Linked DNA regions of Xenopus tropicalis. The protein of the gene in region 2 interacts with the protein of the main gene of each other region in a pairwise test. Links are inferred from orthologs where the notes say so. Each region holds a gene or a part of one and is shown on either strand. Other genes may lie near its edges. The genes, in order: gapdh, htt, rnf20, cul5, hypk, fez1 and ezr.

What was found.
Region 1: the proteins of htt (region 2) and gapdh interact in binary tests that used the Homo sapiens proteins (3 or more experiments, as listed by UniProt). The link is inferred for Xenopus tropicalis from reciprocal best matches to the Homo sapiens genes HTT and GAPDH.
Region 3: the proteins of htt (region 2) and rnf20 interact in binary tests that used the Homo sapiens proteins (3 or more experiments, as listed by UniProt). The link is inferred for Xenopus tropicalis from reciprocal best matches to the Homo sapiens genes HTT and RNF20.
Region 4: the proteins of htt (region 2) and cul5 interact in binary tests that used the Homo sapiens proteins (3 or more experiments, as listed by UniProt). The link is inferred for Xenopus tropicalis from reciprocal best matches to the Homo sapiens genes HTT and CUL5.
Region 5: the proteins of htt (region 2) and hypk interact in binary tests that used the Homo sapiens proteins (3 or more experiments, as listed by UniProt). The link is inferred for Xenopus tropicalis from reciprocal best matches to the Homo sapiens genes HTT and HYPK.
Region 6: the proteins of htt (region 2) and fez1 interact in binary tests that used the Homo sapiens proteins (3 or more experiments, as listed by UniProt). The link is inferred for Xenopus tropicalis from reciprocal best matches to the Homo sapiens genes HTT and FEZ1.
Region 7: the proteins of htt (region 2) and ezr interact in binary tests that used the Homo sapiens proteins (3 or more experiments, as listed by UniProt). The link is inferred for Xenopus tropicalis from reciprocal best matches to the Homo sapiens genes HTT and EZR.

The regions. Positions count from the first base shown.
Region 1 is NC_030683.2:10,006,238-10,010,314, reverse strand, and holds the start of gapdh (glyceraldehyde-3-phosphate dehydrogenase), read right to left. Parts: upstream 2,801-4,077; 5' UTR 2,753-2,800; intron 1,615-2,752; coding exon of another isoform or gene 1,518-1,614; coding exon 1,515-1,517; intron 1,436-1,514; coding exon 1,329-1,435; intron 1,228-1,328; coding exon 1,137-1,227; intron 1,046-1,136; coding exon 930-1,045; intron 294-929; coding exon 212-293; intron 1-211. UniProt on the Homo sapiens protein: Has both glyceraldehyde-3-phosphate dehydrogenase and nitrosylase activities, thereby playing a role in glycolysis and nuclear functions, respectively.
Region 2 is NC_030677.2:22,766,896-22,770,395, reverse strand, and holds part of htt (huntingtin), read right to left. Parts: intron 2,806-3,500; coding exon 2,687-2,805; intron 2,036-2,686; coding exon 1,924-2,035; intron 529-1,923; coding exon 391-528; intron 228-390; coding exon 69-227; intron 1-68.
Region 3 is NC_030683.2:57,227,008-57,230,936, reverse strand, and holds the start of rnf20 (E3 ubiquitin-protein ligase BRE1A), read right to left. Parts: upstream 2,801-3,929; 5' UTR 2,675-2,800; intron 2,612-2,674; exon of another isoform or gene 2,516-2,611; intron 1,789-2,515; 5' UTR 1,756-1,788; coding exon 1,627-1,755; intron 1-1,626. UniProt on the Homo sapiens protein: Component of the RNF20/40 E3 ubiquitin-protein ligase complex that mediates monoubiquitination of 'Lys-120' of histone H2B (H2BK120ub1).
Region 4 is NC_030678.2:159,962,315-159,965,814, forward strand, and holds part of cul5 (cullin-5), read right to left. Parts: intron 833-3,500; coding exon 723-832; intron 1-722. UniProt on the Homo sapiens protein: Core component of multiple cullin-5-RING E3 ubiquitin-protein ligase complexes (ECS complexes, also named CRL5 complexes), which mediate the ubiquitination and subsequent proteasomal degradation of target proteins.
Region 5 is NC_030679.2:107,675,004-107,679,046, reverse strand, and holds hypk (huntingtin-interacting protein K), read right to left. Parts: upstream 2,801-4,043; 5' UTR 2,794-2,800; coding exon 2,632-2,793; intron 1,944-2,631; coding exon 1,888-1,943; intron 1,255-1,887; coding exon 1,203-1,254; intron 805-1,202; coding exon 709-804; 3' UTR 470-708; downstream 1-469. UniProt on the Homo sapiens protein: Component of several N-terminal acetyltransferase complexes. Inhibits the N-terminal acetylation activity of the N-terminal acetyltransferase NAA10-NAA15 complex (also called the NatA complex).
Region 6 is NC_030683.2:74,207,105-74,210,604, reverse strand, and holds part of fez1 (fasciculation and elongation protein zeta-1), read right to left. Parts: intron 2,384-3,500; coding exon 2,303-2,383; intron 1,468-2,302; coding exon 1,392-1,467; intron 1-1,391. UniProt on the Homo sapiens protein: May be involved in axonal outgrowth as component of the network of molecules that regulate cellular morphology and axon guidance machinery.
Region 7 is NC_030681.2:64,210,901-64,214,400, forward strand, and holds part of ezr (ezrin), read right to left. Parts: intron 2,957-3,500; coding exon 2,796-2,956; intron 2,331-2,795; coding exon 2,238-2,330; intron 1-2,237. UniProt on the Homo sapiens protein: Probably involved in connections of major cytoskeletal structures to the plasma membrane. In epithelial cells, required for the formation of microvilli and membrane ruffles on the apical pole. Along with PLEKHG6, required for normal macropinocytosis.

The DNA.
Region 1 (4,077 bases), on a different chromosome or scaffold from region 2:
CAGTAGCACATACTACAAAAAAGTAAGTTAAGTTATGAAAACTTGCACAAAGCAGGGTTTTTATGTACAAGCTTGTTCACACTATTTTTAGAGAGACCTACATTGTTTGGGGGGGGTATAATTTCCATTAAGGTCACTCATACAGGGTGAGGGGGGAGACAGTTTGCTTTAGGCTCTATGTCCCAAGCTGAATAAGCCCCACTGCACTTACCATCAGTCCCTCCAGGATGCCAAAGTTGTCATTGATGACCTTTGCAAGAGGAGCCAGGCAGTTGGTTGTGCAGGATGCGTTGCTGCGGGCAAAGCAGGGGAAAAGGTAAACTAAGCATCACTCCCTTATTCCATCAGAGTAAAGAGGCCAGCCCATATAGGGAGGACACATTACTGCTTGTATTTGGGGCAAGGCCCTGTAAAGGCAGGCCCAGGGCTGGGAAGGCAGAGCCACTTTGCCAGTTGAAGCTAGCCAGCTTATGTAGAACAGTAATTGCCTGTGAGACTTACAGCATTAACATTCCTGAGCTAAAGAAAGTGGCAGAGAATGGGCAGCCTACATCAATGCCTGCCTACAGAGGCCTAAGCACTAGCCAATTACTGAGAGGTTCCATCAAGTACAGAATGGTTTGGCCAAGCAGCAAACCTAGAACAGGCTGCAATTTTATTATGGGCAGTAGAGGGAGCCCCTGCCTGATCAGTATTTGTATAGACAAATATCCTGATAAAAAAAGGTTTAAGGATTTACAGCCTTCAGGCTTAGAGTTTTACATGGTTGTTATAGTAAACAAGCCCTTATTAGATTACAGAAGCTGCAAACCATGAGCTATTGAGAACTAAAGAGTTAACCCAGTAATACAGAAGCTTGCAGACAGCCTGTAGCATTGTGGTAGTTCGCTCCCCCTTTAAAGGAACGCCCATTTTTACCCCACACTTACCTGACAACGTGAAGAGAGTTATCATATTTGTCATGGTTCACCCCAACAACAAACATGGGGGCATCAGCTGAGGGGGCAGAGATAATGACACGCTTGGCACCTCCCTTCAAGTGCAACTGCAGGTAAAAATTAAAAAAAAAAAAGTCCAGGGTGAATTCTAGATATAGAAAGCCAAATGTTATGGGGGGGGGGGGTGTAACTACTTACACCGGCCTTCTCTTTGGTTGTGAAGACTCCAGTAGATTCCACCACATACACTGCACCAGCATCGCCCCACTTAATGTTGGAGGGGTCACGCCTGGGGAGAGGAGAGAACTGTAAACATCCCCCCTGTGATTAGATTCTGCTGCAGGAACCCAGTCTAGAACCAGGCCAGGACTGAGCCACAACCTCACTTACTCTTGGAAGACGGTGACTGCCTTGCCATTGATAACCAGCTTGCCATTCTCAACACACACTGTTCCCTTGAATCGGCCGTGGGTGGAGTCATATTTGAACATGTAAGCCTGCGGAGAGTGGGAGGGGTTAATTCCCGAGCATTTTATACTCCAGAACACAAAAATGCAGATGAACGGAGCCACCTACCATGTAGTCCAAGTCAATGAAGGGGTCATTGATTGCAACGACTTCACATTTGCCGCTTAAAACAGCAGCGCGGGTCACCAGGCGCCCGATGCGGCCAAATCTTAAAAAGAAAAAATGATTTCTATCGTTAGATGTTTATGCGCTTAACCCCTTGTGCCACTGGCAAGCAGTAAGAAGATAAAGCCTTGCATCATAAGTGATGCGACGTCACAGCTAGATGTTAAAGGGGAAGTTTAGCCAATGCACTGAAACCACAATGCAACAGCTTAGTCCTTTGATCCCTATATGTTAAACTACAATTCCCATAACCCTCCATAGAATCAAGGCATGCTGGTTCCCCTCATTGGTTGGCTTGGGGAACCCCCAAGCCAACCAATGTTTGTCCACAGTGCACTGGCAATTGCCGACTCTTGCTGGGCAGTGTTGCCTGGTGCAATTGGTTGATCAGCATAGAAGTAATGGGGTGCACTGCTACCCCCTCTTTTTAAGCAGTTAGGGTGGGAAGGGCACCCTACATAGCTGTCATTATAGTGAATAGCAATAAACAGGGGCCAGTTACATAGAGAATACAGAGACCTAGATCAAATGGATCCCACTATTCTAAATGGCACAAGGGGGGGGCACATGATTTAGGCAATCTGTCACTAAGAAATATGCAAACTTAATGTACTTTGGTTTACTTGCCCTTTAAAAAAAAGGTCTGTGCCGCCATTAGCACAACACCTGCTGACACAGAAATCTCCACTGACCCAGACTCAGTTGAGCCAGCCTGGGGGGGGGGGGGCAGTTTATCCAAGCACTGCTCACGCAGCACAACCTGAATAATGGCTGTTATTACAAGCAATAATCAGTCTGCCTGCCACTGCCCTGTTATTACAGGCAATAATCACACAGCCTGCCTGTTGCGACTCCTGACACTGCCCTGCATGCTTCGAGGCACAATACGAGTGACTGGCTGCACATTCAGGGCTGAACTTTGCTCGGGGTGAAGTTCAACAGTGAAGTTCAGCGACGCGTAATGAGGACAAACAGGAGGGTGTGTAGTAAGGCTGAGAGATGAGTGGCCAGAGTGACGGGAGCAGCCTCCATTGTGGGGCAGTACTGGATCCGAGTCCTGGCAGAGACGTGCAGGGCAGAATGATAATGTCCCTGGCGTGGGTTACAGCAGCTGGCATCAACACCTCTATTAATAGGAGCCCTACTTAGCCATGCCAGGGGGGGGCATCTTAGTGTCCCACTTTAATGAGAGAAGTCTCTAGAAGGTTCACGAGAGCCCAGTCAGACTCTGTGCTGTGAGGATTATGGTCACTAACCAGAATAAAACAGCCAGGGGACTGTGCCTACGTGCGGCTGCCACCAGGGAGCAGGACGTGACTCAGCTTCCCCACACTTGTGCAATTACTCCTTATTCTGCAGCAGCGAGGGGAGGGGATTCACCCAAGGTGCCGTGCATCAGCCCCCCAGGTACAGCTCATCAATAGGACACTGACAGTGCAAGGGTGACCCTGGCCCAGGATACACTGTGACCTTGGGGTTGTCCTTGAGAGACATCAGCAGCCAGACACTGGGGACACCCCCATGCGCATTACTGTACCCCCCTCCTGGCAGAAGGTGGAGCAATGGGGAGCCGCAGCGGATGGAGAGGAGGGGTTGGGGTGTGAGGTGGGGAGCAGTGACTCAGTGGGACGTGAGGAAGCTTCACACTCCGCATGGTTCTGGCAGGGGAGGGGTTAAGGAGCAGCAGCCATTTTGAAAGAATAATCGGCCTGGACCATTAACCATTTATGAAAGGTCTGTAGCTTCATTACTTATAACCCCTCAACTGCCAGAGCCAAGGGGCATCTTACACTGGCCAATCGCTAAACCGTGCAGAGAACACTATCCCATCGGCCTTTAATCTGCCAAGCCATTAACCCCCCCCCAGCTGTTTGTCTGGGTCCATTACCCCCTTATACCCCAGCATCTCCCCCCACTCACCTGCATATTACCCCCTTAAGCCCCAGCACCCACCCCCAATGAAGTTATTAACCCCTTAACTTACCCATTGATTCCAATCTTGACAGTCATTTTGGTGTCACTTGGTTTAGTTATCAACCCCTAAAGGCAAGAAAGGAAATTAGTGGGGGGGGGGGGAACAAGAGGAGGGTACCCCGTGCCCAAGTCACTCTCCATCCCATCTATTGGGCACATCCACCCACCCCTCTGTGCCCCCAACAACCTACCTTTAATATTAACCCCCACACCACTGCACCTTGAATTGGTCCCCCTGCAGCTAAATCCCACCCAAAGGCACCCATATAGCCCATACCCACCCACTAGAGGGCAGGAAGTGCCCCATTTCACCCAGTGTCCAACCCAAATCATTAATACACAGACTCCTGATTACCCAAGGTTCCCACTTCCCTATATCTACCAGAACCCCATTACTCATCCCACCCTAAAGCCTCCCCAATCTAAGCACAGGCAGCCCTTACACCATCCCATCCTTAGCCACTAATACAGTAACCCCATTACTCACAAACACACTACATTGGAAAAGTACCAGTAGCACAGAACTACAACT
Region 2 (3,500 bases):
CTCTATTATGAAAATAACTACACATCACAATCTAATATAAAGCATAAAACTAATAGCACAAATACTACCTGTATTGGCTTTAACCTTTGAAATCCAGGTTTCTGCTTCAAAGTGTGCTTTACTAAGCACAGAAAAGACAATGGTCCCGGAAAGGATTGCTGTAGCTCCTCTAACCTGAGGATCTCCGTGGTTAATATAATTAAGAATATCTGAAACATACTGTATTTCTACAAAGGGAGAGAGAGAAGAAGAAATACATTCAGCCAGTCAGCAAAATGGAGAAAAGTGAACTCTAAATACACAAGTTTATATGACAATTAGAGACCATTACAAACCATGCATAAACCCTGCACCTAATGATATGAGGGTGTTTTAGCAGGAAAAACTTACCTTGAGATTCAGTAGTTTCAGTGGGCAGTTTGTACAGTTTGCTGAAGAAAGATTCTGGTAACAAAGCAACAGCTGCCCCAACACAACTGACAGCCAAGGCTTTTACACTGACCCGTACGTCTCTGTCTGGAACAAGCACTGCAGGAACAAGGAGATTGGGGATATTCAGGCAAATGCATACAGTTTTTAAGAGGTCATAAATCTATCACAAACTTCTCCTACTGGAAAAAACAGTGTTTAAAAACCCATTTCTATCCAGGATATATACAAAGCTACACACCTCACAACATTCCGCATACTGAAGCGGATCTCAGGGGTTCTGATGATGCTAAATTGTGTAAAGCGCTGTTGGGCCCTTAAAGGGGTGGTTCACCTTTAAGTTAAGTTAACTTTTAATATGTTATAGAATGGCCTATTCCTAGCAACTTTTCAATTGGTCTTCATTATTTATATTTTATAGTTTTTAAATTATTTGCCTTCTTCTCTTTGCATCTTTCAAATGGGGGTCACTGACCCCGGCATCCAAACAACAATTGCTCTGTGAGGCTACAGTTTTATTGTTATTGTTACATTTTATTACTTTTCCTTCTATTTAGGCCCACTCCTATTCATATATGAGTCTCTCATTAAAGCCAATGCCTGGTCGCTAAGGTAATCTAGACCCTAGCAACCAGATAACTGCTGAAATTCTAAACTGGAGAGCTGCTGAACAAAAAGTGAAATAATTACAAAACAACAAATAATAAAAAATGAAGACCAGATGCACATACTTTTAGAATATCCCTCTCTACTTCATACTAGTTAACTCAAAGGTGAACATCCTCTTTAAGGGTCTCACCTAATTATAGGTATAGATGCATTTCACTCATAAATATCCTCCATAAAGCCTAACCAACCTGAGATAAGTATTTAAATACAATGTATAAGAACATCGCCACTGTACCCCAGATACAAAGTTGAGAATGGTAATCTAGTAAACATGCTCTGGTTCTGTCCAATTACCAAACCATACTAGACAGCTATTCTTGGTGTGGAACTTCCAAACTACACCAAATAAACCCTGCTGGGAATTTCTCCCAGAGTTCCCCCAAGCCTTAGATCTAACTATATTTTAGACCACAGCTTTATTGGAAAAACAGTTTTGTCTACCCTACCTGAATAGGAGCTTCCAACGCAAGATACTTGGCATCTAGAAAGGTGGGACCCATGGCTGAAGCTGCACCCTAGTGATACCCCATAACACATTTCTCTGCACTTACTCGAGTATAAGATCCACTGCGTAATCAATACAACACTGGATGGTCATGATTTGCATGCACAGGTTGTTGTATATCATTAATCATGAGCTATGTATGCTTTGTACCTTCCTCTCTATTATGTTCTCAATAAGCACCCAAATTAAAAACAAAACAAAAACTCCTCATTCCTCTACCAGCTCCAGTAGCACAGGGGTTAAGTATCTATGTGGAAATCAAAGGCTCTCTCAGGCTCTGGAAGGAAGGAGTTGTAAGATCAATCCATTTCAATTCTTACCACTTTTCTGTCCAGTGAGCAGAAAGGAAGCTGACAGGAGTCGTACGCAGTGAATTAAAGGAGCAGCATCTTTATCCATATAGTGCCCAATATCTCCCTTTATTCTTGAAGGCTGAAAAAACATTGAAGCAAACAATTTATTCTAGCACCATTCAGCTTGGAGACAACTTAAAAGGGGCAGCTTACTCAGGGTTGTATCTTTGTCCGGTGCCACCTTAGGCAGTGAACTGGAGTGATCCTCTTTAGCAATCAGTGCATGAGAATTACAGTTTGCATACTTTGCATGTAGTGGTAGAAACTGCTGCCAGATTTAACCATAATTTGCCGACCTGGTTTGTCGAAGCACAATCAAAACAACTCAAGAGGTCCTCTGTATAATGAGCTGCTCTTTATAAAAGCATAACAAAGGCCCATGAACAAGAGGGGTTTGTTTATACAGATGGTTTCTCTGTGGACTACGGATTTGTTTGGATTCTGTTTGGGCAAACCAGCAAATAGAGTGTGAACTAACATTCAATTTTTGTGATAGAAATTTTTTTTTTAAAAAAAAAAAGCACAAGCCATATTTATTGAACTAATGTTGGAAAAGGATTATACTGCCCTTTTAAATCAAAGATTTATTTTGTTCTTCAAACATAAAATTGTAAAACTGAATGGGGGAATAACTTGGTGTAACAGAGCTTTTGGAATAAATAGCTTATTGTTAAGCAGTAGTACATATATATATATATATATACATGACAACTTGATCCATGTTACTCACTTTGTTTTCCAGATCGCCAGGATCCACAGGTTCCTCCTTGGGTACAAAGCGCTCCACGCTACTGTCAGAGGACTGTCGGCTATGGCCCATGGTTTTTAAAAGATGAGTTTGATTTAAACCTTTTTAAAGAAGAATACAAAGTAATAAAGACTATTTGGATGCACAATGAAACGTCATTACATACTGGCAATCCATAATATCCAATTGAGGGTACCTCTTATATAAAACAACAAAAAAATTGTAAATTAGCCCATGCGTCATCTGTTCTAAAACAGGAATATACAGATGTGTTCAGACACCATTGATACCCCCCATGTTTATTATGTATTATGCAGCTTAAAAGGAAAATTCTAACATTCCAGGCATAGCATACATTCTTCTTGTTTTTTTCACTGTTTCATAAAATACCATTGCACACTGCAAGAGATAACTCACAATGTAAGAATAACATTACAATGGGGGTAGGCTATCACTTCAAATATGCTTTTACCAGTGGATGTAATACATCTCAAAAAGTTATGGGCACTGACTTTGTACAGCTTAAAGGAGAAGGAAAGGCTAGTAAACAGTCAAGCTGCAGGAATAACTTCAGTTGTCTCAATAGTGCCCTTGAGTCTCCCCATATTTCACTTGTTCAGATGATCTGAAGCCAGACAGGAAGAAAAAATGCTGAGCTGTGTAAAGAAAGTTCCCATAATGCCTCACTCCTGCACAGACATGCAGACCAAGTGAACATGCTCAGTTAGTAAGACTATGAGTCAGCTTCCTGCTGATTGGCTCAGATGCACATTCCTAAGGGGGGGGAAGGAGTTCT
Region 3 (3,929 bases), on a different chromosome or scaffold from region 2:
AAATATATATATATCTTGATAATGGTCAAAGCATTGACCAAAATACTGACTTGTCTGTCAACCAAACTAGGTGCACAGTGTATTATTTGGTGTGATATATAATATGCTATTGCAATTTCTCTCTCTCTCTAGATCTATATATCTCATATATATATATATATATATATATATATATTACACACTTTATACTACAGGTGACCCTGAAGTAAACGGACAGTCTGCTCAAACAGTGTCTTACCACAGGGCCAAACAAGGTCTCATGTAGTATGTTCAGCTGAGTGGACTGCCTAGCAATTGTAGCATGTTGCAGCTACATCCAACAAGTGCGAACAACGTAAGCTGTACGAAAATCCTCAGATCACAGACTTACAGTTTAATGCAATGAACAAACTGAGTGGAAGTGTAAACAGCTAAAAAGACTAAAGCTAGCCATACATGCAACGATATTATCATACAAAACCTTGTTTCATACGATATTGGGTGCATTTATGGTGGCGAGACAAGACGACCAATATCGCAAAGGCTGCAGATATCAGTCATCTCGTCGATCGGGCAGGTCTTCACCTCTTGTATCGGTTATTGATTGCTTTATATGTTACTCTGTATGTCCAATGTATGTAACCCACTTATTGTACAGCGCTGCGGAATATGTTGGCGCTTTATAAATAAATGTTAATGTAATGTTAGAAGATTTTCATCAGCAAAATCTACGTTTAAGGCTGAATCGGCAGGTGGAGGTAGAATTTCTATTGCTTCTGACAATTCAGCCCTGAATGGCAGCATCAGATAACTGGCACAGCCCTTGTGCAGATACATGAGAACTAGATAAGAACAGAGGCATAGGTTACTCTTTTATAGAAAACCAGGGTGAACAAGTTAGACTTTATTGCTCTGATACAGTGTCTTAATTGAGAGTTGTCATTGCCTTCCCAGGCTTGGGCATCAAGGGATATCTGGTAAATGTTGATGGGTTTTTTTTTGGAATTTAAAATGTATTTCCTAAATATGGAAGCGAAACAACATAGCTGGGGCAAAGACATACGGGACGTTTTGATAAATCTTGGCTACCACAGACAAAAAAGTCCCTTGGTTCCTTCCCACCAGCAAAAAAACAAATGCCAGTGAAAAAAACATAAGATTTATTGTGGCAACAAAACGCCACAGTGTGCCATAAAGCTGCATAGTAAGTAATTATTTGGATGTTTAGGGATAAAAATGGCTGAGACACTATCCCTATATTATTGGTTAAGATGCATGCTTAACATGTGTTCTGCATACAGAAAGTTTTTTATATAGTTGGTAGCAATACTGTGGAGGCTGGATCCTTCCCCTCATTAACATAGGACAGCCAATATTTAACTACTGTAGGAGCACAGAATTGTATTGATCAGTCCTCTTAGTGCTTTATAAATAGTTTTTAACACAAAATAACACACAGTGTTACAAATGTTCCCTTTAGGCAAACTAAATTAGATTTCTGAAGGTTATGCCTCAGGCTGGAAGGATTTAAAGGTGTAGTACCAGATGGCAAATGCCAGCTGTATTCAAAATGCTACATAAGCTATAGACATACCAAAAAAAGTCCTAAACAGATCCGCAGTAAACAAAATTGATAAGTGCACTTACTGTTGAAGACACACTTCCTAGTTTAATCGTCTCGACAGTGGTTCCAGAATCTTCCACTGCTGCCTTTTTTTCAGGGGGTCCTAAAGAACCTACATCCCCCACAGTACGTTTACTTCCAGGCCCTGACATCCCTGTAAGCTTTTCAACATCTATTTCAGACACCTAAAGAGGGCAAAGTGTAAACAGAGAAAGAAATTCACATGCAAATGAATGAAATAAAAAGACATATCAGATACTTGAGTGTACACTCACCAGACCAATATACACACTAGGACTAAGCTTATGAATAGCCTACCTAAAAAAGGAAAATGCTATGAAAATAAGAGTATTACCACATGAAATCTTTATGTAAGGGTTAGTAACCTAGTGTTACAATAAAGCCATTAAAGGAATTCTGCACAAAAAAAAATAAACATTATTAAACATTTTCAATGGTTTTAAAAATTATGTGAAAATGGAATGGAAAATGGAAATTAAAAAACATATTTATTTATCATTTTCTATCCTCTGGGTCTGACTTTTAAAAAAATGTCAAAGGGTCTGATCTTTCTTTTAATCTGCTGGCTTGCATCAGCTTGTTTCACAAAAGCAAAGAATATAGGCAACCAGACAGAGACAGCTTTTTAAAGATATTACATGTACAAATAACTTTAAAACCCCTTCAATTTTAAAAACATTGCAATGACAAAATGTGCATGTCCCATTTTCTAGGAATTAATGTATTCTTGCAGCAGGTCAAACGTTATCAAACCTGATCACATCAAACCACATAAAAACTAAACGTTATGTGTTAACAGCAAGCAAGATACATGCACATTGCTGCTGATATAAAGGTATATTCTGCACAACTTATTTGGAAGTTTATTGTTTCAAAGCAAAGAGTCATTCCCTCTCACTCTGCAGTATGACGGTTTCTCCTTTTTAGAAAAGAAAATAATACAAAACCAGTTTTGCTCTGCAATATCCCTTTTTTGCTTGCAAGCATGCCTAAAGGATTAATCTTATTAGTTTAAACTAAAGGTGACCCCTGCTATATGGAAATACATACCAAACGTATTCCCGCAGAACAGGCCAATTTTTTAATACAGCCCGCAATCCCTGATCCGCTCGGTAGCTGCTAGTTCCCGACTGCCGTGAGTGACGTTCAATCACGTGAAGACGTGGCGACGTCTCCAACACGTAACATTCGGCGCCTTCTTTAAATGCCTGTGTAAGTAAATTATAGGTGAGTGCGTTCCACAGTGGTTACTCGGGGATGCTATGGATAGAATGGCTCATTAAAGGTAGTGTCACAGTGCGCTATTCTGTGAGTATTGGGTTGCGCTGGGTAGCATTATTTTTTTCTTGGGACAGGATTAAATGCAGGAGTTCTGTTCTTGCCTGAATACTGGGACACTTGCTTGTTCAGTGGAGGCTGTGGATCTTTTACGCACTTGCTGGTCTCTGTAAGGTGTGTTAGGGGGTTAGTGGAGCCTTCTTATATTTGGAGTGCTTGTATTTTTTGGGGGTAAGGGTGCTGATGAATTTTGGGGTGTGTGCATTTTTTGAAGGGTGGTTGTTGATTTTTTTTTTTCGTTTGGGTTGGTGAGACGTGCTGCACAATTTCGAGCCCTGGGAAGAGTTTTGGAGTGTGCTGATATTTTTGGTGTGTTAGATAATTTTGGGGGATGGCTTTTTTTGGGTTAGTGGGGGAGGTACAGTGTGTGGTGAGATTACATGAGCTGTGGTAGGTTTATGTCTTTGGGGTTATTTGGCTCAAGAGCAGTGTGTAGGGAAATTAGACTTATGGGTTGTGGCAGCAAGTGAGGTCTCTAGTTATGGATGGGGGGGTGGTTTGGAGGTGTGTAAGTAAGGCATTATTTATGTATATTAGGTATGTGTATGCCTTGCATTGTTTGTGTTCCTAGTTTTATACCTGACTGTGGGAAAGTGAGGTAGCATGTGCCACTCCTAGGTTTGTTTGTGTCTTTGGGGGTCAGGTTAGGGAAATGAGGGCACCTTCTGTTTGTCAGGAATGGGGAGATAGGTTGGGTTAGTCTGTGTGCCTCCAAGGTATGTGTTTCATTGTGGGTACACATACTGGCAGAAAAATGTTGTAAGTGCCAAACACTTAGTGCCTACTTGCTTTGCATTAAAGAGCTTCCTTACTGCACAGCAATGAGCCAAGGGGACACCCATTTCTTACCTGATTGTCAAAGGACCTGACTTCCAGTGCCCACCCACTCCTTTCCTGCTGTGTAGGTTCTGCAATCCTTTTTACACATTTACACCCATATACACGCACTTACACAAACATTACACAT
Region 4 (3,500 bases), on a different chromosome or scaffold from region 2:
CATATAACGAGAATCTTAGTTGCAACTACAAAATGCCAGAAAATACCCTGCCATAGACAATACTAAGAACCACCTTTGCTACTACACATTTAGGGCAGTATAGCCTTGTGTGTACACTGCTCAGAACAGTGTTTGTATACATAGGATTGATCCTGCTTTGTCTTGTGGGATCCTGCGTGCATGTGAAGCAAATTAATGCAGGAACCTTTTTCCTGTAACTCAAGCATTAAAATTGCCAATGACCTAAATACTTTTTTAGAAGTCTATTTTTTATTAATAATAATAATAATAGCCAATTTGACTTGTAAGCTAAAAACAAACATCTGGTTGGTTGTTACAGGTTACTAGACCATGGCCAAATATGTGTTCACCCTGTAAATGCCATTCCCATGCTATGGGGTCCTGGTGAGGCCATTTCTTGCCTTATTTACAAACTCCATTATCTGAGGTCAGTATGGTTTAAAAGAGGAATGGTTATTAATATAATAAATCCATTAAGTGCAGTGGATGCTTAATAATGTTTAAAGCATATTTGTCATCAGTCAGCAACATACTGTGCCACTGTACATGAGTGGGAAGCAGGATTCCATGGAGGAGTAATATAAAGGGTAAATTTACCTTCAAATGCCCTTTAATACACACCTTGATTATCTTTTAGGCATTACAGGAAATTGTTTCTCCTCCATCACTTTAACTAGCACAGTTTTTCTCTTAATACTTACGAGAACAAATCGAACCATTGCTGTTTTGTGACGGATTCCTGGCGTAAAAGTTTCAGAACTATAGGTCTCATAAAGTCCCATTTGTCCTCAAATTGAAGGGAACCTTTATTCTGTAAGAGAAAGCAAATGCCATTTAGCTATAGTTCCTTGGTCCTACATCTGTAAAATAAAACTTTCATTTAACTTCAAGCCAATGTTATTCTTTCATATCGACACCTTTAGCTGATTGAACAAGGCCTGCTTAATTACTTGTATGTGATCATACATGTGCACATACACATCTCTGTACAGAAACAGCAATAAAATATCAAGTACAATTATAAAAGTCAGCAAGAGCAAATTTATAATGACATGTTCCTATAGACATTGCAGGTATGGGATCCATTATCTGAAACCCTGTATCCAGAAAGGCTTCCTTCCATAGACTCCATTTTTTGCAAATAATTTTGATTTTTAAAAATTATTTCCTTTTTCTCTGTGATAAAACAGTACCTGTACTTGATCCCAACTAGGATATAATTACCCCTTATTGGGGGCAGAACAGCTCTATTGGGTTTATTTAATGGTTAAATGATTCCCTTTTCTCTGTAATAATAAAACAGTACCTGTACTTGATCCCAACTAAGATATAATTACCCCTTATTGGGGCAGAACAGCCCTATTGGGTTTATTTAATGGTTAAATGATTCCCTTTTCTCTGTAATAATAAAACAGTACCTGTACTTGATCCCAACTAAGATATAATTACCCCTTATTGGGGGCAGAACAGCCCTATTGGGTTTATTTAATGGTTAAATGATTCCCTTTTCTCTGTAATAATAAAACAGTACCTGTACTTGATCCCAACTAAGATATAATTACCCCTTATTGGGGCAGACCAGTCCTATTGGGTTTATTTAATGGTTAAATGATTCCCTTTTCTCTGTAATAATAAAACAGTACCTGTACTTGATCCCAACTAAGATATAATTACCCCTTATTGGGGCAGACCAGTCCTATTGGGTTTATTTAATGGTTAAATGATTCCCTTTTCTCTGTAATAATAAAACAGTACCTGTACTTGATCCCAACTAAGATATAATTACCCCTTATTGGGGGCAGAACAGCCCTATTGGGATTATTTAATAGTTAAATGATTCCCTTTTCTCTGTAATAATAAAACAGTACATGTCATTTCGCCAGTTTCCATGAATGGCTAAAATGTAAGGTACAGAAATTGTTTAAGTCCAATTACTTTTAAAAATTGTTTTGGAAATGTTTTCTCCCTGCCATAAATGTTTATGTGATAATCGAATGAATCAAGCCAATATACATCTGTGCGCAGCTACAGTGATAGAAATTTTTGGGCAGGGTTATATTTTAGGTTTTGCACAGACTGCAACAGGCATTTCCCAGAAATAGCTACACAGGGCTGCTATGCAGCAGGCTATAAATAGGCCAGCGCCGTGACCAGTCCAGCTATGGGCCCGTTCCCTTTCAGTTACACAGAGCTAGAAGCCTTAACGAAGGGCTGTCATAATTAGCTCTCCCATATGTCTAGCTGAGGGTGCTAAATGGGAACAATATCTACTGTGCACCAACCTATTAAATAGCAGTAAGGATACCAAATGTTTAACACTTACTGTACATTTATAAATAATGGGGATCCATTTACGCCCACAAGTGCAGTGAGCAAGTGCCATGTTTTTTTCTCAGTGTTTTTTTTACCAGAATGCCAAGACCATTGCAGTCGCAAGGGGCATTGCATATGATGCTACTGTGCAGAATTGTACCTAGCATTATTTTCAGTGCTCAGCATGACGTCCCCATACCTTTGCAAAATGGGGTTCAATATGCAACTCACTGCGGGGAGAAGTGCAGGAACACAACTGCAAGGGCACAGCAAGCACAGTGTTTTGAGGGCCTTAAGGGCAATGGCACACAGAGATCAGTTGCCTGAGGTTAAACTTCGGCTACTGTGGGCGACTAATCTCAGGAATGGCTACAAGTTGCCTGGGATCCCTGCCATACATGAAGGAAGGGAAACCAAATGCCCAACCAATACGACATTAAACTCTTCCATACTGGCATCCAATTACAGGTATGGGACCTGTTATCCAGAAAGCTCGGGACCTGGGGTTTTCTGGATAAGGGATTTTTCTGTAATTTGGATCTCCATAACTTAAGTCTACTAAAAATCATTCAAATATTGAATAAACCCAATAGGACTGTTCTGCCCCCAAAAAGGGGTAATTATATCTTAGTTGGGATCAAGTACAGGTACTGTTTTATTATTACAGAGAAAAGGGAATCATTTAACCATTAAATAAACCCAATAGGACTCTTCTGCCCCCAATAAGGGGTAATTATATCTTAGTTGGGATCAAGTACAGGTACTGTTTTATTATTACAGAGAAAAGGGAATCATTTAACCATTAAATAAACCCAATAGGGCTGTTCTGCCCCCAATAAGGGGTAATTATATCTTAGTTGGGATCAAGTACAGGTACTGTTTTATTATTACAGAGAAAGAGGAATCATTTAACCATTAAATAAACCCAATAGGACTCTTCTGCCCCCAATAAGGGGTAATTATATCTTAGTTGGGATCAAGTACAGGTACTGTTTTATTATTACAGAGAAAAGGGAATCATTTAACCATTAAATAAACCCAATAGGGCTGTTCTGCCCCCAATAAGGGGTAATTATATCTTAGTTGGGATCAAGTACAGGTACTGTTTTATTATTACAGAGAAAGGGAATCATTTAACCATTAAATAAACCCAATAGGGCTGTTCT
Region 5 (4,043 bases), on a different chromosome or scaffold from region 2:
CACATTTCTGTCCTACTACTTTAGTTAGGCTGTAGTTCTCCTTTAATGCTTTCCTGCTTGTCTCACTAGATCTCTCAATAAAAGGGTAAGTGACCTTGGTTCTACTGTACATGACAGCAAAAGTATAGGTCACCTGGACCCATATAGTATAAATAATGGGCTGTCAATTGCTTCCATGGGCACCATCTCTATGTGTAAAGTGCATGCTTTCAAAATACAGTGTGCCACTAATTTACTCAAGTGCTTATTATGGGAGAAATCTGTGTGCCTCCATGTGGTCTGATACTCTTGGGGACAATACACTTAGGTCTTCTATGTTTATGTCTGGGATAAAAATAAGTAAAACACTACAGTTACTGTTAAAAAACACCACAATTAATGATAATTATGGCAATGAATTCGATCACATACATACTATTTCAGAGATGTGTACACGGCATGGCCAGTTAAAGCAGCACTCAGAATCGTATTTAGAAAGATGGTGTTTATTCTAAATAAATTAGTACACTTACTGTTGGCTTCAGTATTTGGAAATGGAGCCCTGAATAATGCATTATTTTTAATATGTCCAAATAATCATGCTAAGAAGGAAAACAGCACTGTTTAATGTCCTAATAAAGTCCACAACTCTTAATGAAAGTATAAAATCTTTTCAGTTCTAAGTAAATTTTCTTCAACAAGATAAAAATCCGTGCAGCATCCAGAAGATCAGTTGGTCAAAGCAATCAGCGCCTCTACTACATTCCCCATGTGTTCCCGCAAGCTTCTTTCTGCTGCTGTTCGAGGGATTTCCATTTCATTCATCTGAAAATGAAAATATTCTCATTTTATAACTAAGTCATAACTATAATGCTCTGTTTAAGAACAAATCATTTTTCAGTAGAGGCCTCCAATGCAAGACTAGTGTTACCATATCTGCATACAGCAGCCACCAATACTCTCCAGTTTATCCAGCACTCTCTTCTACTGGTTCTTCCACCCCCACCTTAATGCCAGCTAATAGTAAATACACAATTGATCTAATCTCGATTCCAATTACAGCCTGGCGAGAGAGAAAAGTTGGCCTGAGGATATGGCCAAACTACACATGATCCACTGGCCAGTTTTGCTAGGTAATATTCTTGCACGTTACAATTTCAATCCTGATACTTCTGACTATACCACAGTCACTGGCTCCTGCCCAGATCACTATCCATACTTACAATAAGCTCCACGTCTTCTTTCTTGATTGTTACTTTGGCCAGCTCCTTTTCTCTGAAAAAATAGAAGCTTGATTAGCTATTGTATTTATAAAAATTATTGCGATTTCAACGGAACCGAGTAGGCAGCTTCTGAGCAGATAGATCAAAAAAATTGTGTTTGAACCATCACTAAAAGAACATTGAGAAGTCTTCATATTTGGTAAAAACCATAACACTCCCAATAAACCTCAAAAGTAGTAGCGACACTCTATTCAACAGACTGCTGCATAATTTTTGGATAATCAGTGTACTAGTGACACAGGCTAAAAGGCCACCAGTGGACAACTATCCTTGCCAGAATCTACAGTACAGCAGAGGTTGCTTACTACAAAGCCACAGGAGTCATTAGCTTTCATTATATTACTCCTAACAAGATCTATTATGGCATGGGTACCAAGTATGTGGCACAATTTAAAGCCTCTCCAATGTGTTTCAGTCACACTGAGCCTTTGACACTACTACATGATCCCGCAGCTTACTGACAGCAACCAGATGCTAAACAGTCCATATCTGTTGAACCCATTAGTAATGACACTGCCCAGTAATACTCTACTTTATAAAACTCCATTCTACATTTTAAATGAGACCTGATTACAATGCAATGGAAAGGGCCAGTATAAAATGTTGTATATGGTATTGCAATTACCTCTCCTGTTTTGCTTTCTGTTCTCTTGATCTTCTGTCTCCAATCACTGACATGGCCTGCACAAAAGACAGGTGAGATTAGAATACCAGTCTTGGAACACAGAGTTCTTTCTTCATAAGCAGTCATTCAAAATGTATGAACAATGTTTCAATACAGTTAAAGGGAAAGCAGTGTTGAATTCTCACTCACTTTGTTGCCCCTGGTAACTTTATTTAAGTTCGGCCTTAAGTCTAGCACACCAGTAACCTCTTGTTCCAAATGGACGGGTTTGTTCTAACCTTCCTTCCCCAGAAGTAAAGTAGAATTTAGGAAGCTAATTGCAGCTCTGCTGTAATGCCCACTTACAAGATGGCAGCTGGCTGGCATGATACAGTGCAGCCAGGGCAGGTAACCAGTGAGAGTCAAATGCCAGGCTGGTGTTAGGAGTATATGGGAAACCAATGCAAAGGTTATCTAGTAAGAGCATGTTCCTTCTATATGTGGATGAGTAAATTGCAAGGAAATCATTATTCCTCCTGGCACAGTATTTCCCCTTTAATAATGCCTCTACTCATGTAATGATTGCCCCGCACACCAGCTAAAAGCTGTATCTGCCTGATCTGCCAAGCAAGTATCTTCCACTGTCTTTCTACAATAACCTAACAGTGACAGTAAACATAAGTATTGCTTTATTGCAGCCATCCAGAGCAAACGATCATCAGTCCATGCCCTTTCCAATAACCCAGGCTATTATTTCTCTCTCACCGTCTCCAAGTTGGAGCTCTGAATCTCTTTCTCCTCGGCATAGTCTGTCACTCTCTCCAGATCAGCGGCCCCACTGTCATGTTTGCGCGGTTTGTCGGCAGGACGCTCGCTGCAGTTCTCTTCAGTCTCCAATTCTAACTCAACATCCCCTTCTGCCGCCATCTTTCCCACCTGTACCGGAACACAAGGCAGTAAAACTCGCTTCAATCGCCGCTTCCGGTTTCTTGGCCTATTGCATTCGTCACTTCCGCGATCTCTATCGTTCTTTGGGCAGGGGGCGGGACAACTATGCGTTCCATTAAACCGGAAAAGAAAGTTCTTGCATAAACTTTGCCTTCTCCTGTGCTGAAACGTTAGATTGATTGCTACCGTAGAAACAACGGGGCATCAATGGTGTTTTAAATATTTAGATATTTGTCTAAAGATTTTAAAAGACAAATAATATTTGTAGTTTAGTAGTTTTACTCTGGCATGAGGATTAACAGAATCATTTGTCCAAGAGAATGCTTGTTGGCAATTGGGCACATTTGCGGCAGTCAAAGCTGACAGTTTAATTGATTTCATGCAACTGACTAATGCCGACCTATCAAAACTCCTATGTTTATCAGAAGATATCTGGTCCCACTCCCCATAGTAATAGGGGCCGATTTACTAATCCACGAACGGATCGAAAGTGCCCGAATGCGTTTTTTTCGTAATGATTGGTATTTTGCGATTTTTTCTTCGCTGTCGCGACTTTTTCGTAGCTGCTATGACTTGCGCGAATTGTGACTTTTTCGTAGCCGTCGCGAAAAAATCGGAAAGGTTTGCCCGCCGCTTACTAGCGCTCAATACGAAAAAGTTGCGACAATTCGCGCAAGTCGTAACAGCTACGAAAAAATTGCGACAATTCACGAAAAAGTCACAAAAGGGATGAAAAAAATCGCAAAAAATACAAAAAAGTCACAAAATGTTTGTTTCCAATCCGATTATTCAACTGAAAAGAACCTAAATCCTCCTAAAATGAGCTCAGAGACAGGGAAGGGCAGAGCTGGGGGCTAAACAAGGTGTTGCCCAAACACACCCAAAAGTAAAGACTCGAAAGTTGACGTCTCTGCAGAGGAAAGCTGTTTGTTGGATTATACAGCACCAGGTCAAATAAAATGACTGAATATGAGACAAACTTAAGTATCTTGTAGAATTGCCTATTGTTCATAAACGTGCCCGCTTCGTATTAAAACAATCTCTTTTAAACATGTTTAAAAAAAAAACTGAGTAACTTCTCAGTGATGAGGCTCCATGGAAACTTCTGTGCACTCCTTACTTTGTTGTGTCCACTCACAAAAGCACAGCTAAGAGGGAATATGTAATTCCGTTTTCCATGTTTTGCCAAAATATTGGGCAACTGCACACAACCATAGTTTTTGTGTGTG
Region 6 (3,500 bases), on a different chromosome or scaffold from region 2:
GGCACTGAGAGTTGTGGATGGTGGATTTTGGTCTCCCTATCAACAAATATTAGCAACTCATGAGCAATGAACCATAAGGGCAGAATCATAAATCATTCAGAATGATGGATGCAAAGTCAAAGGTCTAATAGTATTGCACTATTGGTATGCCAATATTTTTGTCCTAACAAAAGCCTTTTCTAAATGTTCGCTAAATGTAATGTACAGCTCTGTGCATACAATTAGCCCGATATTTATAAAATATTATAAAAATATACATGCATTTCAAGTATTTGTTACATTTTAATTTACACAACAATGGGATATATTATCTGGAATACTTGGACCTAACGTTTTCAGTATAAATTTTGTGCCGTATATGAAGTTTACTACATTTAAAAATAAAGAATAAATAGAACTGTCTTGTTATCAGCATGGAAATGTAATTCTTAGCAACTTTCAAATATACATTCATTAAGGGGATGGTTTAACTGAGAATGGCCTGTTCCTAGCAACTTTGCTATTGTTTTTAATTATTTATTTTTTAAAGTTTTTGAATTATTTCTCTTCTGCTTTTTTCCAGCTTTCAAATGGCCACTGACCCCATCAGCCAAAAACTATTGCTCTGAAAGGATACAATGTTTATTATTTTTGTTACTTTTTAATATTTATCTTTCTATGCAGGTGCTCAACTATTCATATTCCCATCTCTTGTTTAAACCACTGCCTGGTTGCTAAGGTAAATACAATACCAACTAGAGAGCTGCTGAACAAAAAGCTAAATAACTGAAAAATCATAAAAATAAAAAAGAAGACCGACTGCAAAGTGTCTTAGAATATCAATGTCTGCATCATATTAAAAGTTAATTTAGAGGTGAACTACGCCTTTAAGAAATGTCAGTGGTTTTAAATTTATTTGTATTAATCATTTTAATTCAAAGCAATATTTATTTCCTGCTACCCTTGTGCTTCATTGTGCCAGGAGCCAGTAGGGCAAAGAAAAACAAGACAGATACTGCATTAAATCCCAATTACATTTACAAATAGCAAATAACAATTATAGTTTCAATCAGTAGATTCAGAGCAAAAGCAACTTTGTATATCTATATATACATGGATGGCACAGACAAATAGTGACCACAATCCCACCCTTTTTGTACAAAACAATCAGGAATACAGGGAATGGAGCTTTTGTTGCAAAGACTAATACTAATCACTGTTATGTGTGTGAAGGCAATGCATTAGGTTTACATAGCAGTTTAGTTATAGTAAGAGATTTTAAGTGCAGACTATATATGATAATATATGTAATGTAATACAAACATTTTTTAAAATATTGTTTATATGATTATAAAAAAGTTTACAAAATGACACAACAGTTCTTATACATGTTCTAATGGAGACAGCCTTACTATTAGTCAGCATCTGCAGGTCCTCAACTGATGGAGGGGTCCCTCTCTTCTCATATGGTATCACTGTGTTTAGATACTAAAGGAAACAAAACTATATATAAAAAAATGATGCCAAAACACTGCAGGGGCACTGCATATACAATAGTGCTACCGCCACTCTTATAAGGGCTCCCACAGTGTCTTGCATCAACTGATAATATTAACTTGTGCTTAAAGAACTGGGCACAGTCATCATTTTGGTGCCAAGCACTGGATATTATGACATGTGAACAAATATTTTCGGTATTTTTTTGTCCAAAAATACAAAAGAATATTTTATATTAATGTGAGTGAAGCTGATACAGTGTCCTTCCTAGAAGGAGGATTTTTTCTTACCAAGGTAGCAATAATTACTTTGAAATCTTTACTGTGCCACCCTCATAAAGGATACCCCTTGTATACATTGGTGTGTTTTGAACAGATATCAAAATACACTACCAAGGTCACAGGCAAGTGAAATAATACCTGTCCTCTCTAAATCAGTTCAGTACAATCAGAGTTGAGAATTGAGTTGCAGAAGCTTACTGTATACTGGGTCCTCAGGGGAGCCCTCCCTAAGAATCATCAGTGTTTGCTTGCGACACATAGGGGCACATTTACTTATCCACGAACGCTCCGAGCTTCGTTCGTTCCAATCGAAAAAATCACATCGGTTTTGCCGCTGTTTACAATTTCTCGATAAAAAATTTTGTGACTTTCGGAGCACCAATACAATATTATCGTGACTATTACGATTTTTTCGTAAGCATTTACGCGATATTTGCAATCTTCAGAAATTTTCGTTTCCAATCCGAATTTTTCCCATTCAGGATTCAAACTCGTGTTATGATAAATCTGCCCCATAGTATGTAGTACTGAAATATACAGCTCACCTGCTTATCATTTCCAGAGTTTCCAAAGGTCTGTCTGATCCCTGACTGGAGAATATTGGAGAGTCCTTCTATGCTAAAACGCTATGGAAAGCAATAAAAATATTATTATGTATAAGATATGATAGTACGGTGCAATGCTTTAAAAAAAAGGTAGAGCTTTAATTGAAAATCCATTTATATAATATTTTTTAAAGATTCTTGCAATCACCTCCAACTTAATGGACATGGTGATATTCTTATCAGTTTCATAATATATTTTATTTTTATAATTTGTTAGGAAAATCATACAAAAATAAATAAAGTCTGTTTTCTGAAGTACTCCATAATCTACCCATGTTGCTGAAAACATTTTGTTACCCAAGGCTGCATTTTGGAGGTATTAGCATGGCTTCTGGTTAAAATTAATTTCCTGGATATGAAAGAGAAGGACGTTTTCTGTGCCTTTTTCTGGGTGGGTCTGTGTAAGTGCTAAATCCAAGTTGTCCCCAACTCAATTTTGATATGATAGTGTTACAACATGGCCCCCGTGTCTCAGTGGTAACATGCACAGCTAGTTGAATAGCACAGATTCTAAAATATCTGTGTTTCTTGCAGATTAGAATTGTATGAATTTCTAATTTAACAGACTTCCATATGTTCTGCAGGTCAGTTGTCCTGCTTTCCTTGTGAAATGAATGAAAATTTGCTCACATATGGAGCAATGGGGACCGAATGCCCAGAAAACTTCAGCGCGTCCTCTCTGCACTACTCCATACGTGAGTTAAATGGACTTGCATGCGCGCCGGGGGGGGGGAGCTATTGGGGCAGCCTTGGGGCGATGCGTTAAGAAATCCAGGCCTGTATAAATGTATGAGAACATTATTTCCAGATTCCATTTTTTAGGTAAACTTACTAGGTTACTCCCTATTATGCTAGTTTATAAAGAACTTTCCTGTGAAAGTTAAACCTGTAACGTCTACATAATAAAAGCCAAATTACTATACAGGTATCGGACCCCTTATCCGGAAACCCATTATCCAGAAAGCTCCGAATTACGGAATGCCCGTCTCCCATAGACTCCATTTTAATCAAATAATTCAGAATTTTAAAACTGATTTCCTTTTTCTATGTAGAAATAAAACAGAACCTTGTAATTGATTCCAACTAAGATATAATTAATCCTTATTGGATGCAAAACAATCCTATTGGGTTTAATTAA
Region 7 (3,500 bases), on a different chromosome or scaffold from region 2:
TATACAGCGCTGCGGAATATGTTGGCACTTTATAAATAAATGTTAATAATAATAATAATAATCATATAAGGGGTCATTTATGCAACTCCAGGGCGCAAGTGCTAGAGCACACCATTTGGTGCTACTTTAAAAAACAGTTGTTTTGCAGGAAAAGCTGTGCTCTGCTTTTGTGCCTGATTGAAAATCCTTGCGTGGAGCAGAGGAACAAAAAAGATTGTGTAGAAACTAATGAATATTTAGCAATGTTGCAAAGAAACTGGTGTTGCTAGTATACTGTGTTCTGTATGTATATTTATTTATGTTCTGTCATAATTCTACAAACAACTCATGCAGTTCAATGAGTTTTGACACCTACAGTGAACTGTATCATTTTTCATTACTCCCAACAAAAAAAACAAAATTGAAAAAGACACACAATGATCTGCCATATATCCAATTTTAAACATGCCTACTGTGTGACCACACCTCCAAATACCAGGTCAACTTTGAAAATACACATGGCAGCATTAGACAAAGAACATGACAGCATTAGACAAAAAAAAAAAATGAATTGTACTTTTTGTTGAATATTGGGAGTGGAAGGCTGTCTCTCCCCCACATTGTCTCACTCAGAGTATACCCAAGCTGCTCTCCCTTGCCAGCTCAACTAACCCATATTGGTTTGGTTGTGTAATGCACAAGAGGTCCATAAAGCAGTAGGGCAATTTTTCACACTTTCAGCACTACTTTTTAAGTAGCTCAACAACATAGTGCTAAGGTGGACAACAGCAATCTCACTGATTTGCATATAAATTAATAAATACCTGGGTGCTGGGCAGCAGAGGTTTGTACTGCACTTGAGTGAAAGGAGATTTTGGGTTATTTTATTTTCACAACAGAAGATTTATTTGCAAATGCCCTGGAGACTGTGGTGTTTCAGTCACCTACACAGAATGCTGCCACTAGAGACTGAAGTGTGCCAGTTACTCACACAGGGTGCCACCACTGGAGACTGAGGTGTGTGACTTACCTACACTGAATGCCACTAACACTATAACTATAGGCAGTAGACCTACTATCTAACTGCACTTATGCATGCTTCCTCTTTAAGGACTGAGAATGTTCCTGTGTATGCATGCTGCTTTCCTGCAGCAATTTTACCATTTAAAAAACCATATAGATTAAACCCAACGCATTTTGGCCCTTACAGCATAAACCTTCATCAGGGTCATACAAATAGAAAAAGTTCATGCTTGTACCTGAGCAGTGCCCTTTTGGATTAGTTCCTTACAGTTTTTTTTATCCACATTCCCTCACACAGATGCAATTCTCTATCTAATCCCACTACACAGGCACATGAGAGCATGCCTCCCAGCACTCGGCTCAGCCCCTAAGATGGTCAGTAAATAGGGTTAATGCATTGTGCCAGGAGGAATATAAACTGCTCTGTCTGATGAGGACAAAGCAGCATTTTAAATCTGCCTGAGTATGGCCAGTTTAGCTTCATGCAGGAAGTGGCAAGAATAGGTTCCAGAAGATATCAGTGATCTCTGTGACAGAATGCTTTGTTGTGAAAATGATGATTGGGGTTTTTTTAATAAAGTTTTGAGAGAGCATAATTAATTAATGTGTCAAATGGTGAGTTTTACCTTTAAGTTGTCGATAGTGGGAGATGTAAGCTTCAAGGGAGATGTTGCTAAACAGAGAACATTTTCATTGTTTAAAGGATTTTGCTGCCTGGTCCTGGAAGCTATAGTGTTCTGGAAAGAATCAGGCAGGCCAGATAATCCATTCCAGTAGTCCAGCTCATAAACTGGAGCTCACTTTCAACAGGAAGGCTCCTGTGGAAAGGTATTTAATTGTAGTGAGAATGTTAGAAAGGTCTCTCTGAACAGGGCACAGAGCCTGTGTTGGGACCTCCCAGAGGGGCTGTGGGTGCTGCCACGTCAAGGAGCACAAGGAGCCTTTGATGAAGGGACTGAGAGTCTGAGTCACTGTGAAATTGATGAAAAACAAGAGGCTGAGCAATCCTCCCAAAGGAGTATAGTGAGTACAGAAGTGACCCCAAATATATGTGTTTTCTTACTGGTAGTCCGCAAGGGGTTCAATTTATTTAGAGAGCTCAACAAATGTGCTGAAATGGTCACTTCTGTGTTTTAAATAAACTCCCTTAATTTGAAGAAAGCGTATGTTGTGGTTCTCACAAGCTTACAAAGAAAGAAACATGTTTAGTTTCATAGAAAGTGTAAAAAACTTACCCTCATTTGCCACTCGCTTGCTTCATCTTCTTTGACTCTCCTGGCCTCCTCCAGCAGTGAGATTCTAGCAGTATATTCTGATAGTTCAGAAGCCTAATTAGAGTATAGATATATATGAAAAGTGCATTATGTACATATAATATAGTCATGGTTAGGGATATACTGTACATACAAAAAGTGTACCAAAAAATAAAAAAAATATTTTTAATGAATACAAATAACTTGGCAGAGAAACTTAAACATGCCTTATGTATATATTTAAATATAATGCAAAGTAGAGAGTGGCAGGTTAAAATAATGCCTGACAGGGTTCTATGGTTCCCCTTTCCAACCCCTGCTTCCTATACCTTGGTCCCCAGATGTTTCTGGCCTACAACTGGAGAATTCTGGGAACTGTAGTCCAGCATCTGGGGACCCAACTCCATTCAGAAGCCAAAAAGTCAAGCTTCTCACTCATTTATTAAGTGTATGTAGATTTGGCATATTCATTAAGAGTTTCCAAAAAAAACATGGAAGTAAGAAAGAACTAATGCTCTGTCCCAGAAAAAAGTATCATACCAGTTGTTCTTGGCTTTTTGTCTGGGCAATTGCTTGTCTCTCCAGTTCTTCCTTGGCACGGAGAGCAGAAATACGTTCTGCTTCTAATCTCTCTGCCTCATACTGTGCCCGTCTTCTCTCTTCCTCCAATTCCTTGGCTCTTTGGATCTGCTCTGATAGTTCTGCAAACACAGATCAAAATATTGTCTTTTTAACGGTGATATCAAACCAATAAATGTATGAGACTCCCTTGGTAACTGAAAATGAAGAAAATATAGTAGCAAAGAAAGTAGCAGTTAAACATTTATAATTCCTGCATCATACTTTGATGAGTTTTTATTAGATGAATATATTCTCACTGTCTTTTAAGTGTTATCCTTAATATATATCCTTAGTGTATATATAATTCTACATTCATCACAGTAAAACTGACAGCTCTATAACCATTTAAAAGGTGACATTTTTCAATTGTAGAATTATAATTTTTTTTTTGTTTTATTCAGGATAGAAATACAAAGTGAAAGACCTGCCTCCCCATCAACAAAAGACCACCTGTCTGGAACCTGTCTGGAACCATGCCATGAAACATGCCCTTGGACATCAACTTCCAACACCTCCGATATCTTGATGGCACTGCCATAACAAGGCAATGCAATCTTGACTGTATATCTACTTGCTGCGGTAATCTGTCTGTTATGTTTAGTTTTCTTTTCAATAAAATTTAAG